Lepisosteus oculatus: one gene and its partner. The protein of the gene in region 2 interacts with the protein of the main gene of each other region in a pairwise test. Links are inferred from orthologs where the notes say so. Each region holds a gene or a part of one and is shown on either strand. Other genes may lie near its edges.

Region 1 (7,668 bases), on a different chromosome or scaffold from region 2:
TGTTTGACCGGGACAGTACACCATAATCTTCGATTAATAGTACCAGGCAATTTAAAATCACATGTTGAGACATCTATTTACCTTGAGCTGTTTTCAGCTATGCTTTCTATAAATAATATACTCCTGTATTCTGCACTACATAGTGCATTATTCCCAAGCAGACATCGTTTACATAAAAACAAAACTGGGGGCAGTTTTAAAAAACATCAAAGTTCTCTCATAAAATATAGCAGGCTATGAGACTAAATGCCACGTCATTTGTAACCAAGATTAAAAGTCAGCCATTTTAAATTAAGTACAACAGGATATTAATGTTTACAGCAGAGCGCAATTCTTTAAAAAAATGCTTGTTTTATGTTGCAAATTAGTAACTAAACTGTATGCAGAAATCTTCCTGTCATTACAGGGTGCTTGTTTTGTAGATGTGTGCTCACAAAGCACAAGCTCTGAAAACACTTTTCTCAAGTCTGAACATAAAATAAGAATCTAAAGCATCCCATCGACGATTAATTATAAATGACCTCATAAAAGGAATATTTTTGAGCCACAATTTGTGAAACGATGTGCTAGAATAATAAAACCTAAGGCAAAGTCAATTGACGGATTAAATAACCTTGGAAGACTCAAGACAAGTACCAAATGCCAACTGGACTGCACTCTGCTCTACCAGGCTTTCTTCATTCTTCACACAGACCATGTAAATTACATTCATTGCAATTACAAATCAGAAATTCAGTCTGTGGAAGACCTGGCCTCAAAACTACTCAGACAGACAAAACTTTGAGTGTACATAACCAGATCCACAAAATCGTAAGAAGGAATATCAAGTCGCATCATCTGTGAAGTTGTGAAAAGTTCAAAATTCAAATGACTTTTTTTTTTGTATACCTCAGATCACCAAAAATAAGCAAAGTCACAACCCACCTCTCTGTTCTCTAGAACAGTTCATCACTGGAGCCAACGCCAGTGCATTTGATTGTGCGCATTGAGTTTATCCCGCGCCATTCTTCCTGTAGCACTATTTCCCCCCCCCCCATTACATTTTCAGGAAAACCTGAAGGGACTTCTACACTACAAACTCGCGGGGTCAGAACAGAGTTGTGGCTTCGCATCCAGCTGGAAACACTGCTGCTGTACCTTGAGAGAGGTACTTCACCCCACTTGCTCCGGTCCACCCAGCTGTATACGGTAAGTAAGGCTCAGCAGTGGAGGGGAGTGATCCCACAATGGACTGGGGTCCTATTGCTGTGGCCCTGGTGTGGCCTTCTCCTTTCACTCTACAAACACAAGATGCTAGACTGTAACCTGTCACAGGCTGCTAATCAATCACCAAGCACACAGGGTGAGATTCCTACAGCCTATTCTTGATCCACTGAGGATTTAGGTAATCCACAAGAACCACAACTCATATTATCCCAAGACTAGTTCTCACCCCTTAGTAACAGGGGAGTCCAGAAAGAGACCTCAAGCTCAGCGGTAAAAAGCACAGATTTTGCCAAGGAAAATCACATTTTTAAAAAAATGTACCCTGGGATTGAGGGCCGGATTACGGCATTATTATAATTCTAAAGAAAAATTGATAAATATGCAGATTTTAATCAATCCTAATTAGCTATAAAGAACCACATCGACTAGATGGGCAAGTGGCTTGCTGTGTGCAAGGGTACAGTGTTTCCTTTGTGCTGTTCTCTGGCTGTAGCACAGTGGTGCTCTGAATGGGGAAGGAGCGTCAGAGGATCTGTGACCCGGCCGGGGCAAAGCATCAGGAAGTCGCACAGAGGGCCTGGAGGAACCACTGGTCACACACGGATCCCCTGACATCCCTGTCTCGACAGGAAAGGGATATTCTGCTTTTTGCATCGAGTGTCACACTTAGAAAACATCCAAGGCTCTGCACCCGCACCGTTGCAGTTCTCGTCTGTAAAAAGTGCTCACAAGAAACACGGCAATCCTTCAGGCTCAAAGCTGCGGATGTGTCGTGACTAACCGTGTGTTAGACTGGACCCGGATTAGAGGCGATGTAAGAACACCTCACATCCACACCAGCTAAGGGACCGGGCGTGCTTGCAAGGCATTTTTCCCCATCATTATGACTGACAAACACTTCGCTGCGTAGGTCGTGGCCTCCGAAGAGTCGACTCAAACTCCCCACTCGACGAATTTCTCTTGCGAGCAGCCTCTTTTCTAAAGCCTCGTCCCTCCGCTACACTACACTAGACGCTGGCCTCTTTTCGGCGTGGACTGCAGCCGCTCAACTTCCAACACTAAACAAAACATTCTCTCGCAGGAAGCGAAACTGATCACACGTCCCGGGCGGGGGGTGTCTTACCTCCACGCTTCCTCGCCCCGCTCCGGCCTGACCCCTGCGAGCTCCCCCGCTCTCTTCCCACGCAGCCTCCCATGACTGGTCAGTTACTCCGGACCCCCCATAAAGAGCTCCACGCCGTGGGGGAAGAAGCGTTCACGCCGACCCCTCCGGGAAGGGACGCGGCCCCTGGGTTCCCCGTGCGCGTCCGCGGGAGCACCGCGCCGCTCGAGACTCAGGCGCCGTTGTTGTCGTTTGAGCTCACGAGCATTCCGAGGCGCGAGCCGTAGCGGGGGGGCTCGGCAGGGACCCCCCCGGAGCAGGACCGGCCAAACCTTCAGCCCTCGCGAGGTCACCGGCCCCGCCGCTGCAGGAAAGAAGCACTTCGGGGGTTATTTTTAAGGAGAGGGAACGCGGCTCCCCCTCTCCCGTCTCCAGTTATTTCTGGCTCAAGAGTCCGGCGGTAACTTCACTGGCACTTCTGCGGTCCCGGCTCAGCCTGCTAAGCAAACTCGTCTCTGCTCTTGTGGCACAAAAACAACTCCACAGATATGTTGTTGTTGTTTTCTTTTTTTAAAAAAAATTCTCTCTAGACAGTTTCCCTGCCCTCCCTAATCCCCAACCTCTCCCAGGTCGCCTCGGATTGCTCCAGGTTTAAATCCCTTTCTCCTTCCTGGTGGCAGACGGCGCTAGTGCGCCTGCGCGGCCCTGCGCGGAGCTCTGGGTAGAAACCGGCCGGTGTTGGATTTCGTCTCGTGACTGGCACCGCTGTGGTGTCAGGTAACAGGAAAGGGCTGCGGGTGTTTGTGTGCGAAATATAAATAAACAGTAGCTCGGCAAGTCCTTGTCATCTGGCGTAACAAAAATAAATCCCTGTAATCGGATCAAAAAGTGGGTGTCTGATTGTGTCGTTATTGATAAGTATCGATCACCTTTTTCTAGCAGATTACATCAAATCACATGCATGAGAACAGAAATCTCATTCTCAAACAATGTTAAAAAAATATCTTATTCCCGAAAAAAACACTGTTGCCCTAGGGGTTGTTTCTCATAGCTCTCTCAGTTAACCGGATAACACGATGACAAAAATCCGGATTTTCGGTTTCACGAAGCAAGATTGAACGGTCTAAAGTTAAATAACTATAGCAACATATCCTTCATTCTTAACCTGCTGTGAGGCAGGTTAAATCAGATTTAGCCTGACTTTGTGGTTAAGAGCTTGGCTCAGCTCAGCCCCCTATGAGAAACGACATCACTTTTCTTCAGAGATCCAGTACACAGAGCTTTGCATCAAGATTAGAGATCGCAAAATCCCTTTACTGCCCGCTGATAATTTTTATCTGAAAGATACAGTTTGAATAGATAGGATATACTTTACAATCAATATCTCTTAACCACATACATTGTTAATACTGCTGGACGTAGCTGAGCGTTACAAGAAACAAACTCTCGTAGTTGAGATTATTGTGACTGGTGCATTTTTTTTTACTGTGTGGGTGATTCGGAACTCTTCAGTAAAGCGATGTGTCGTGCACCAAGGAGGCTGTCCAGGCTGATTTTTTAAAATCAGAAAATCAATTCATAGCATCAATGTACAGTTAAAAAATAAAATTCTAGCCTAAAAATATGAATATTACAAAAAACAATAAATATTATCGATCGTGTCCGATAAAAGAGGTTAAACGTGTGTGCACACAATGGGTGTTGCTATACTTAGGTGTATATTATGCACAATTTCCATCATCACATCGTTTCCTATGTTATCAGAATCCATGATGTATGGTGTCACACTGGCAACATGTACATGATTCTGTCTGAGGGTATCCTCAGCGTGCAGCACAGTATTACCACCCTTAGGAAGAGAGAGTTCTTCCCCTCCACCAGTGCTCTCTGATGACTGTCCTCCTATTCATCGCTCAACAGGGTGACAGCTCTGAAAGGCACATCATAGCCGAACATAACTCTAGTGAAACAGTGAATGCTCGGTCTGATTTTTAACATATACCTTTTTTTTCTAATTTCACTGTGGTTATTTTATTTTTCGGTTATAATTAGGTCACATTTTTACCTGGCGTAAGGCTTTCTGCAATCTGGAGGGGAATGCCTCACCTATACTACTCGATCCACACTAAAAAATGTTGGAAATGTTGAATGAAGGAACACATTCTTTATGGTGTTGACGCCGATTCCTCTTCTTCAAGTGTTACTCTGCTCAAGCGTCTTCTTGTCGGATAAAATTGGAAGACGTTGTAAGAGCATTCCGCCACACCGTAGTGTACAGGACCCCAGTGCCACTGTGGATGATGTTCCTGGGTTTTGTCTTGGCCTGCTGCCAGGTCCTCCCTTTGTGCTCCAGCATTGTGCTGTGTAAATGCACAAATTAGTTCTGCACAAGAACAAAATTGTGCGATTACACCATGGCTTAAAGTGGATCTCCACTTCAGCACCATAATAATGAAAGTTAAGTAATGCCAATGCATGCATACTCACACAATTTTTATAGTTTGTTTTATCTCTTGAGCTAGTTGATTGGATTTCATAATTAACTTCCAGATTCAGTTTTGCAAGGCGACTTCTCTGGCTTTTGCAGCAGCTACAGTGTATTTCCTTGCTTTTGCAACAGATTTTATCCTCCTAGTTTTCCATAAAGAGGCATAATTCCTGGTCACTGGATTAAGATGCGCATTCTTTCGCCGTAGTTTTTGCTGGTATAAATGAAGGATTTGACGCTCATCCCTCCTGTATTGCACCTCTTAGTAATTTTCCTCCTGGAATGATGTTTCCTCAAACAATTTGGAACGTCTCTGGAAGTAGAGACAGCAGAGGCCTGGCAAGGGGCTTAAATTGAAGTTAACTGGAAAAATGAAGTCAGAGTTTACCTCGGTGAACCTTGAGTAATGCTGAAGTCGGTTATCGGGTTAATTCATCAAGGACAACTTGAGAGAACCCTGAATAAGTTCCAGCTGGGTCAAGTATCCCCCCTGGGTGGGTCAGTATGGTCCCAGTGAGCGTGTCTGTCCAGTATCAAACCGAACCCCCTAGTTAAGGCACAGGTCCCATGTGCTGTGCGTTGTTCTGTACTGACTGAGACTCTGTCCTCTGGAAGTTGAGCTGGTTAAGATTGATTACGTGATACAAATAGTAACACAATCGGAAGCTGCATTGATTTTCATTCTGCATTAACCTATTTGATCATTGCCTATCACTGGGTCTGTACGGGTAGATTACCACTAAGCAGCTGCTGTTCCTTATTGGCAGTAATTGATGTATTTTGCCAGGAGATAAGATCTGCTTCATACTTTCCCCTTTATTGCTGACAACATTCCTGGAACGATTTCAGGACAGTTCCTGATTTCTTTATTAACTGGGAAAATACTGTGGTCCGTATTTTCTCTGAAACTTCACCTATGATAGGAGAAATAAAAACAAAGAGTGCTTTAACTAAAGAGTATGCAGAGTGTGATAAATATAAAAAAAAACTCTTGGGTTCATTATTTCACATCAGGGCATAAACCCTGTAAGAAGTCTAATACTATAGTGACTGGTATTATTGCAGTAATTGCTCGTGATGTATCAGAACATGAGATTTCTTGCCATTTTGTTAAGGGAATCTTGACTGTAAATACTGACAAGATTCCAGATTACAGAACACAGAAGAAATATTGTTATATTGTATTTTATAGACACAGATACCAATTCCTAGTATTCCCTACCTATCCTTTCACCTGTACCCTTTTTCCTCTTTTACATCTCTGGTTTCCTTTTTTCTTCTCCTTCCTCACTGTTTTTATATTATTGTTGGATTTTTACAGTTTGGTTAAGTCTGTCATGCCGTAATGATTGTTCACATTTGTTCATTATTGTTTATGGTACCATGTAATATTTTTTGTTCTTCCCGAAAAACCAATAAACAAATTGAACATAGAAATCCCAGACCTACAAAACTCAGAAGATCTTCCAATCGTACTGTAAGTAGACCCAAGGGATTCTGCAGCCAGTACGTGAGCTCTAACCACAGTTTGAGGAGCGTAGACTACTTCAAATATATGTTGCTTTAAATTGTGTAAATATTTGCTTTGGTAATAATTTAATTAATTGGTCATGCCAATACAGAATTTGAATTCGTCAGTAAGTTGGGTCACACAGCATCCGCGATGCTTGTTTCTCTGGAATTGTGACATGAGGCTTCCTCAAACATTTCCTGATCATATCTGCTCAACATCTGAAGCAAACTTTCAGAGCTGCTACATTCTAATTGCTTCAAAAGCAGGAGTGCCCACTTCGCTGAGGACAGGGCAAAACTGCTCAAGAGCAACCCTGCACAGTGCCTTGGTCTTTGTCACGTGACAGTGGTGTTTCTACCCTGCCTTTCCTCGGCGACAGCTGCAGCGCATGCGCGCGAAGAGGAGTTTGACTTGTGGGTTGTGCATGATGGCCGCGAATGGAGCTGTGTTGCTGGGTTTGGTAGAGGAATTCGTATCGGGCCAGCAGGACAGCAAGGCTGCTGAGACTGCAACAGGTAACTGATGTAATCGATCTCGGTCTCGGCTCTTAGTGAGCTGTACGTTGAGCCTGCAGGCTGCAGCGACTATGGATGGGAGAGTCCGATGCCCAGAAAAGCGTGTGGCTGATATTCTGGGTATCTTTTTAAAGGAAACGTGATGTGTATGAACCTTGGTATAAGTGCACATCGAAGAGAAAGATCAGCCCTAATTGACATGGTCCTGTATTTATTGCACAACATGAAAGTCTCCAATACGCAGGCAGTACACAGTAGAAGACAGTTTGAGTAAAAACACACCCTACCGACACAAGCATGGACCGTTCTAGAATTTGCTTGCCATGGGAAAACATTTTCTCACGTTTTTACTGGGACTGACTTTAAAACAGCGGTGCATCGCCCGGCTCTTGGGAGACTTCAGACGTCCTCTCTTTCCGGTTGTGTCGAGACAAGCGGCTCATCACGAGCAACCTGTTGGCACATGTAGCGGGTGCAGGAGCCCATCCTGGCGTAGAACTGGCGCTCTGAAGGTGTATGTAATTAATTTAAACTAAGGATACTAAGAGTAGGTATCCGCAGTGGCTCAGTAAAGGAGCCCTTATTCGGGAACTTAATTCGAACAGCCTATAGGACGGTTCCTGTTAGATGTATTCAGACCCGTTGAAATCCAAGTGTCTTCCACAGACATGCCCCTGTGAAGAACTGCCCGCCCAGGTGCCTTGGATCAGGGACAGCGGTCGAGTACTGTGCGCTCCTCGATATTGTCAAGCTGCATAGCTCTCTCCACTCCTGGCTCAGAAATTCGTCTCGCTCTAACGCTGGAGCAAAGTCTTTATAAACACGAGCCATACCTTGGAGATCT
Region 2 (7,652 bases):
AAATCTGAGACCCACAATGCGATTAACTGTTCAATCCATGCTATTGTCTTGCAGGTTAAATCAACTCGCAGTTGACCATATCCCTTTTATAAAATATTTTTTAAAGGATTACACATGAAAGTGCATTCCTAAAGTTTTGCCTTTTGTTTTTCTTAATGATCGCCAGATTCGGAACACCAGCTAAAGACGTAAGGACACGATGCATTCAGAGATGTTTTTAAAGTACCACATGCACTGTAATAGAATTATCTCATTCACATACCATATATGTAATATCACATTGTAATATCCCATTACAAGATACAGATACTTAGACACCTGGAAAATTAATAAGGTTTGCACAGTAAAATTAAAACAATACAAAATTATGTGCTCTAGGGCAAAGATAACCATGTACAGTACTATAACCTTTGACACTTTCAAGTATAAAATGGAATATAATCAATCATGTACAGTTAAAATTTATTTTGTAAAATAATATTATCTTCCAGTTCCTGGTAACCAGGAGCACAGAGGATGCATACTGTAATTGCTCTCTTTGCAGGTAGTGCAATGTCAAACACTTTTCTACTTGAAAAGTGCTGTTCCCAGGTGTATAAGTCTTTCTCAAGTTATCCTGATAAAGACAGTTAACCAACTGGCACCCAATCAACAGAGAATTAATTAAACAAACCCAGAGCTACAAGAAATAGAAAGTGTCACAATGTTTATACAAAGCAGACAATCCCAGAATACTGTAATTGCAGTCATTTGTCATAAATTGGGAAAAGCTGTGGCACCATTTTTGACGTACCACCGTGAAGATATGGGATTATGCAATGCGAAATATTAATTTAAAACTCATGTTTATGTCGGAACTTGGAAACAAATGAAAGCTATATACTGTACAGTATGGTATTCACAATAATGGGAGAAAATTACATTATCAATAAGCAACACTAATAACCTGTAAAAACACTTTTATGTGAAAATAAAGCAATATCTAACTAATCCAGCAAGATTATACTCAGTTACTAACAAATAGTTACACGGTAAAGTTATTGAAATACTTTACTGACTTTACCATCAACAACAAGTAAAGAAATGCAATGTCTCATTTATTTTTTTGTATCATTCTGGTAATTTATGAGTAAATTCTACCTTATATTTTCTCTTTCTTTCATCTTTCTAATCTCTCAATATCCAGTAAAACAATCCGAAGAGAAAATGCTATTTTATATCATAATTGTGATCAACACTAAGTTTAATTATTTTTTCAGAAAGTTGTTCTGAATCCTTACCCCACTCAGGTTTTGGACCCAGGAAATGAGTAGATTCTGCTTATAAGGTTCACTTAGTAAGAGTGATTAGTCATTTTAATGTAAAACCAATGTAAGGATCTGTACAGCTTCTTAAAACTTGTCCCACATTCCAACTAAATGAAACATACAACAAAACCTATTCATGCTACCACAAAGTTTACCTCAATTTTAACACAATTTAAATTTATCTTAAACTCAGTTGTCACGCCAAAAATACACATCTAAAGTGAAAAAATAAATGTCCTTTCTTTTAAAAACAATAAATTCATTTGGAAAAATCATGATCACAGCAGTAGTAAAGGATGAAAAGCTTCTTTTTGTAAAGAGTACTTCATGCTAGTTTTTCAGTACAAAATAAAATTAATGTAATCTATTTAGATACTTTAATGTGTGCTATTTAGATACAGTTCAGAGACAGCGGCCTTAAACAGAAAAATCGAGCACAGATCTGATGGGAGAACTTTGTAAATCTAGGTCATACAACAACTTATTTAAAAATATTAATACATATGGTATAAGCAACTTAAAAAGAAAAAAAATGGAATAACAATTTACTTTTCTATTTTTATTGACCTCAAAACCAGAAATTTAACTCAATATTGTAATAAAGTAAAAGTGCCAAATTCTTCAGATACAGTATATGCAGCCTACCATATACATTTAGATGAAACTTTCTGTCACCTTTTATACATGACACAGCACAAAATAATTTTAAAAAGTCATATAACGCTTCTCATTTACTGTATAGCTCATCCTTACCCACTGGCACAGGTCAAGAAAGACATCCAGGACTCTCTCAGGTAAGAAAGTACTGGAGGACATTTAAAAGAAATGACCCTGAAGCATGGATTATTTTGATCAGACATTTTACATTTTGCCAGATAACCAAATCTTACACCACATACAGGATCTATCCTTTAAAACATTTCTGACACGTATTGAAAAGGCATTAATATGTATTCCATGGATAGACCTTGCAAAAGAAAGCAGCTTTGAACACTTTCATTCAGAAATAGTTTGTTTTTTCTGGAATGTGCAGCGGCTGATACAGATGTACAGTATGCATTTGCATTGTTTACTCCGTTCTTCACAATCATGATTTCTTAGCATTGCATATCTGGCAACTCAAAGGAAAAAATAAGATAAATTAAATCCTATTTAGGACTAAGTTAAATCCCAACATGCGAGTGTTGGACTTTCAATTTCAGAAATGTCTCTTCCTTTGAACTGTTTAGGCATTTGCAGCACATGGCAGTCCTAAATGCTTTTAATTTATTTCATTTCAGTTTGCATCTGGGTTTCATCACAGATAAGAAAGCACTGTGAAGTGCGGAGAGCTCTTTGCCAGACAAATCTTTAGAAGAAAGTCAACTGCTGTTAAGTGATATTCCTATAAAGTGAATGAATGAAAGAGAACGGAGAAAGGAAAAAAAAAAACACTTTGTAAGTCCAGTTTGGCAGGAGCAGAAAAACTTCTTGGCTAAATTAAACAGAAGTGGAGCAGAGGTTTATAGGTGAAAACCAAATTACTTCACATCTCGCCTTGAGTATTACGTCGCGCCCTTAAATGCCTCTCAAGCACTGAATCTCCTACCTGCTTCCCCATTGTCCCGATTTGTGATGTCCTCCTTCCTAGGGAAAATGTCAGTGTTTTTTCTGCAGAGTGGACTTTTAGGACAGAGCTGGAGATGTCTGTGTCCCACTTGTAGTAAAAACTTTAACTGTTAATCCTGTGAGTCAGGAAACTGGGCTCTGTCCAGCCTCTAGCTCACTCCCACTCATCAGGGTGTGTGTATGCACATGCCTCCCTGTATGGAACAGAGAAGCCTCTCTCCTCAGCCCAACAGGTTTCCTTATATAGGTAAACATGTCTTAAATTCCCTCTCAGGGAGACTGCCTTGGAACGAAAGCTTAACCCCCCAAGTGCCAAAAAAACAGCACCTTAATGGAAAAGTATTCAGTAGAGGTTGCCTGCAGTACAGAGGCAATAAAAAGGGAGTGGTTACGAAGTCAGCTGGTCTGTTTAGACCATGACATTTGGAGCACGTCAATGGTACCATGAGGACTCATTCCCATGGACAACAGTATTGGACACTGAACAGTTTCATGCAACCCTTTAGCTCAGGTTAGGTCCCTTTTTGATAGAATTGGATTTAGACCAAATATTTTTTTAAAAGGGGAAATGTTCTTCATTTAAAGGCATTTTGAATGATTTTGTTTTTCCACATTATGGAAAAATGCAGTTTTACCATAGTGACAGCACTACCTCCAGGTATTGTGAATGTAATTTTAGGACATCGCAACTGGTGGCTTTTGAATGGACACGTACAAAACCAACCCTAAAATGAATACTACTTTTCTTACTTTGTAAAGTGGCATTCTGGAGTTCCATCATGGATATTATTATTACAACTTTTAAAAGTTAAAAATCTAGATTTTAACTAGATATTGAATTGTCATTCATTGTAAAGTTTTTAAAATGCACACTGCTGGGCAAATGTCTTAAACCAGGAATCTCAAACTCAATTGCTGGAGGGTCTCACGTGTGCTGGTTTCTGGAACCCATGTTCTCATTTACTGTACATAATCGGTCTAATTATTCACATTAATTAATTAGGTAACATTAATGAATTTAAGGTCTTGTAATCCACTGTAAAAGACCTTAAGGAAGCTTCTACTGTATGTATATCTAATTTAGAAAATAATTAGACTAAATGTTTAATTGACTATTCAGGTTGGAACACAAACCAGAAGGCCTTACCCCTCCAGGAGTTGAGTCTGAGGTCCCCGTCTTTAATACTTTGCATTGCTTTACTCCTCTAACTCAATGTTTTTCATTTTTATGGAAACTTAAAGTTGATCTTTAACTAAAATGGCAGCCACTTTGTTTAATTAACCATTATTAACTGTCCATATTTTGTAGCACAACATTTAAGCATTTAACTTTAAATTTAAATGTGCAGAGAAGAACAAGTAATTTTAATGACAAGCTCCACCTGATAAATGAGTCAAATAGATTGGATTGGTAAATGTGATGGAATAGCTACTAAAATGTTTTATATTGGTCACACATGTATACTTACCTAGATTTATCATGTCGTTAAAGATTCTGATTCTGTGAATTAAAGATAATAAAATACAGGTTGTTATAATAGTAGAATAGTAAAGACTTTGAATTAACTGGTCATAACATGCATTTATTGTAACTCCTGATTGAGTCCAAGATGTCCAAGAATATTGCACAGCACCACATGTACACTGAAGGTATTAATTGAAGTTCTTAGTAAGAAACTCTGAGATATACAGTATTTAATCTCAAATTTACATGCAAAGTTGTTGGATCCTTGAAATCTTCAGAACACAGACTCATTTTTTCCAGAAAACTGCTGACATTTTTAGATTTATATACAGATGTGTATAGTATGATGCATATAGAAATGCAGACCATATGTGTACTATATGTGCATACTGTATAAATTCGGGGCTTGTTTTTTTCCATATTTTAATGGCCTCTGATCTTGCTTGGTATTCCACAATCTACTGCTCATGTTTAAAAATGTATACAATTCACCGTGGGCTTGGAAGCACGAATTTTAAGAGCAGTAAAAATGTTTTTATAATAATAAACAGCTCTCTATAAAAAAAAACAACTGTATGTATTTTCTTAAGTATTTTCTTAAATATGTAAATTTAAATCACCTGTTAGTGTTTGACATATACTGTAAAGTACAGTCATTATCATAGTCCCAGTTGTATTAGCACCATGTTGTACTGTTCTATAGCACACAGTTTTCATGACTCAGTGGACTGAACACAGCAACTGTCTTTTTAAGCTTCTTTTAAAATGAATATGCAAGGTCACAAATTAGCTTTAAAAAGTTTATTTGTTTAAACATCTGTCCCTTCACAATATATAAGAGGATGCTGCAAGACAAATTGGGTGTGTTGAATACAGTAGGTCACAAACTGGCTTTATTTACAGAAATAATAATAAAATGCTAGAAAATGATAACCTGATAACAAGAAACAGAGAAATTTATATTGTATTTCAAATGTAGCTTTAAGTCAATTATCTTCATAAAAAGCAAAGTATTCAGATAAACCATTAATAATTGTTATGATGTGTATGGAAAATGAGGAGTAGAGAAAAGAGACTTTTCTTTCTGATTCAAACAGTTCAAAACTCCTGGTCTGAAAGCATGTGATAAACTCACTGTTATTAAAGAGCCTCAGAAGCCCATATCTCTAAACTAAGTATGTGTGCATACTCCATTTGAAACCCCATTTAAAACACTCCACTGTAAGTCACCGGTGTTTCATTACATTTGGTAAAGTCCAGATGTCATGTAACAATCTGCTGAAGTTTTATGTTACTTCTCTTGTGAAGCTGGTAAAATAAGACTAATAACTTTTCAGTGCCCTGGACTTTTCTGGGGGAATAACAGCATATTCTTTTATTACTGCTTAGACTACTGTACAATGAAATGACTGAGCTATGTACTTTGTTGTTAGCAACAATGTGAGGATTAATTTCTTCCCAAGATGAGGAAAAGACAGAGGGTACGGAGGAGGGGATGTCAAGCACTTCATAATCTGCAAACATTTATATAATTTATACTATTTTTATTCAATACATATGTTGGATTTAAGAGAGCATTTACCAATTCAAGTTAAAGTATATTATGTTAAATGGGTTTACATTTAATGCTGAGGACTGCTTTGAAGACCAAGTTATAGGTGTCATATCCCCTCTGAGCTGAGTGCTGAATCACAAGCGCTCGAACCACCATGGCCAGCGGTTGGGACTCAAATTAATCTGCTAATCTGTCTGTTTCCTTGACAACATGATTGGGCAGATCAGCACATTTTTTTTTCCAAAGGATATACAGTACAATTTCTATGTACATACATTGACTGTACTTCCCTGCTCAGCTTTACCACTTTGTCCTTAAATCACCCAATTTTCACACTGGTGCAATTTGACTTCTCTGGTTTGGCTCTGCAGTGGTTTCTTTAACCATTTCCCTGGATCTCTTTTGTATTTGCTGTGTCTTTCCATGCTCGACCCCGACTGCTTTGACCCTGTGAATTCTTCCCTGTGCTCTGACTTCTCACTTGTCTGACTATGGCTTTTGTATTTCCCTTCTGTTTACATCGGTTTCTCCTTCTTGAACTATGCTCTCTGGCTCTGTACTCCTCTGCCTGTCTGCTCACAACAGCCTGTTTGACTGCCTGCCTGTACCCAGCTGCTTGCTCGTCTGTCTGCCTGCATTAGGATTCATCACCAGCTTAGACCACTAAACCCTTCCAGGTCACTACAGCGGTTATGACAGTAAGACTAAACCATTAATATGGACCCTTTGGGGAAAGATGAAATTCACCAGGTTCTACCCAATCATGAGCCTGCCCTAAGTTCACAGGCCAGTGTGACAGAATTAAGAGAGGCTGTCAGAAATTTGCGTGCCGCCATGAACAATATGCTGCAAGTCTTTCCTTGCTCCGCATGGCCAACACTGTCTTCGTTCTGCTTTTCACAGACCTTCCATCTCAATTCATTTTTTATGCCTGTGGGAGATCTGCGCTCCACCGGCTTAACTTCACTTAATGTGATGTCAATGTGTTTTTTCAAATGGAAATCCGTTTGAAAAAATGGATCAGCCCAATCCTCCAACTGGCTACTGCAATTGAAACAGGGGAAGTACTCCATGGCTCATTTTGCCATTCACTTCCACACCTTGGCCATTGAAAGTGAAAAGGGAGAGAAGGACCTTACTGCCCTATTTCACGATGGATTGTCTGAACAATATAAGAGTGAATTTGCCTGCACGGACTTACCACAGGGTCTGGAGTCGTGAATCAACCTTGCTTCAAGAATGGATACTTGCCTTCGAAAGAGATAAAAAGATAAAGTATCCTCACATTCTGGCAGAGCAAGCTAGGGTCGTCCGCTTCCAGAACACAACCCAAAGAATCTCCTGTTAAGAAAGCTCCTTCACCCACACATGAGGAAGAGCCAATGTAGATTGGTAGAGCCAGGCTTTATCCAACTGAATATCATGGCCAGGTGTAAGGGCCATTTTGGAACTGTGGATGCAGGGCCGCCTCCATGATTGCTGTTCGTTAGGAATTGGGAGTACTTACCGAGCTGGGTCACTTCATCTCCTTATTCACCTCAGCACCTTGTCCTGCCTGCTTTGCTCTCCTCGGGCACTCTTCAAGCCCAGGTCAATTTGTTTGTAAACTCTGGATCTGAAGGAAATGATTGATATTAATTTAGCTAAATCAATTCCAGAGTCCTCATCCAAAAAAAAAAAGTCCTCTGTACCTCATTGTCAGAGCTACTCACTGTGA

What was found.
Region 1: the proteins of E3 ubiquitin-protein ligase Midline-1 (region 2) and ubtd1b interact in binary tests that used the Homo sapiens proteins (3 or more experiments, as listed by UniProt). The two-hybrid records come from large-scale screens. The link is inferred for Lepisosteus oculatus from reciprocal best matches to the Homo sapiens genes MID1 and UBTD1.

Annotation. Positions count from the first base shown.
Region 1 is NC_090699.1:16,771,202-16,778,869, reverse strand, and holds the start of ubtd1b (ubiquitin domain-containing protein 1), read right to left. Parts: upstream 3,045-7,668; 5' UTR 2,403-3,044; coding exon 2,330-2,402; intron 1-2,329. Other genes in the region: MMS19 nucleotide excision repair protein homolog, read left to right, coding at 6,734-6,824. UniProt on the Homo sapiens protein: May be involved in the regulation of cellular senescence through a positive feedback loop with TP53. Is a TP53 downstream target gene that increases the stability of TP53 protein by promoting the ubiquitination and degradation of MDM2.
Region 2 is NC_090710.1:19,718,394-19,726,045, reverse strand, and holds the start of E3 ubiquitin-protein ligase Midline-1, read right to left. Parts: upstream 3,037-7,652; 5' UTR 2,896-3,036; intron 1-2,895. UniProt on the Homo sapiens protein: Has E3 ubiquitin ligase activity towards IGBP1, promoting its monoubiquitination, which results in deprotection of the catalytic subunit of protein phosphatase PP2A, and its subsequent degradation by polyubiquitination.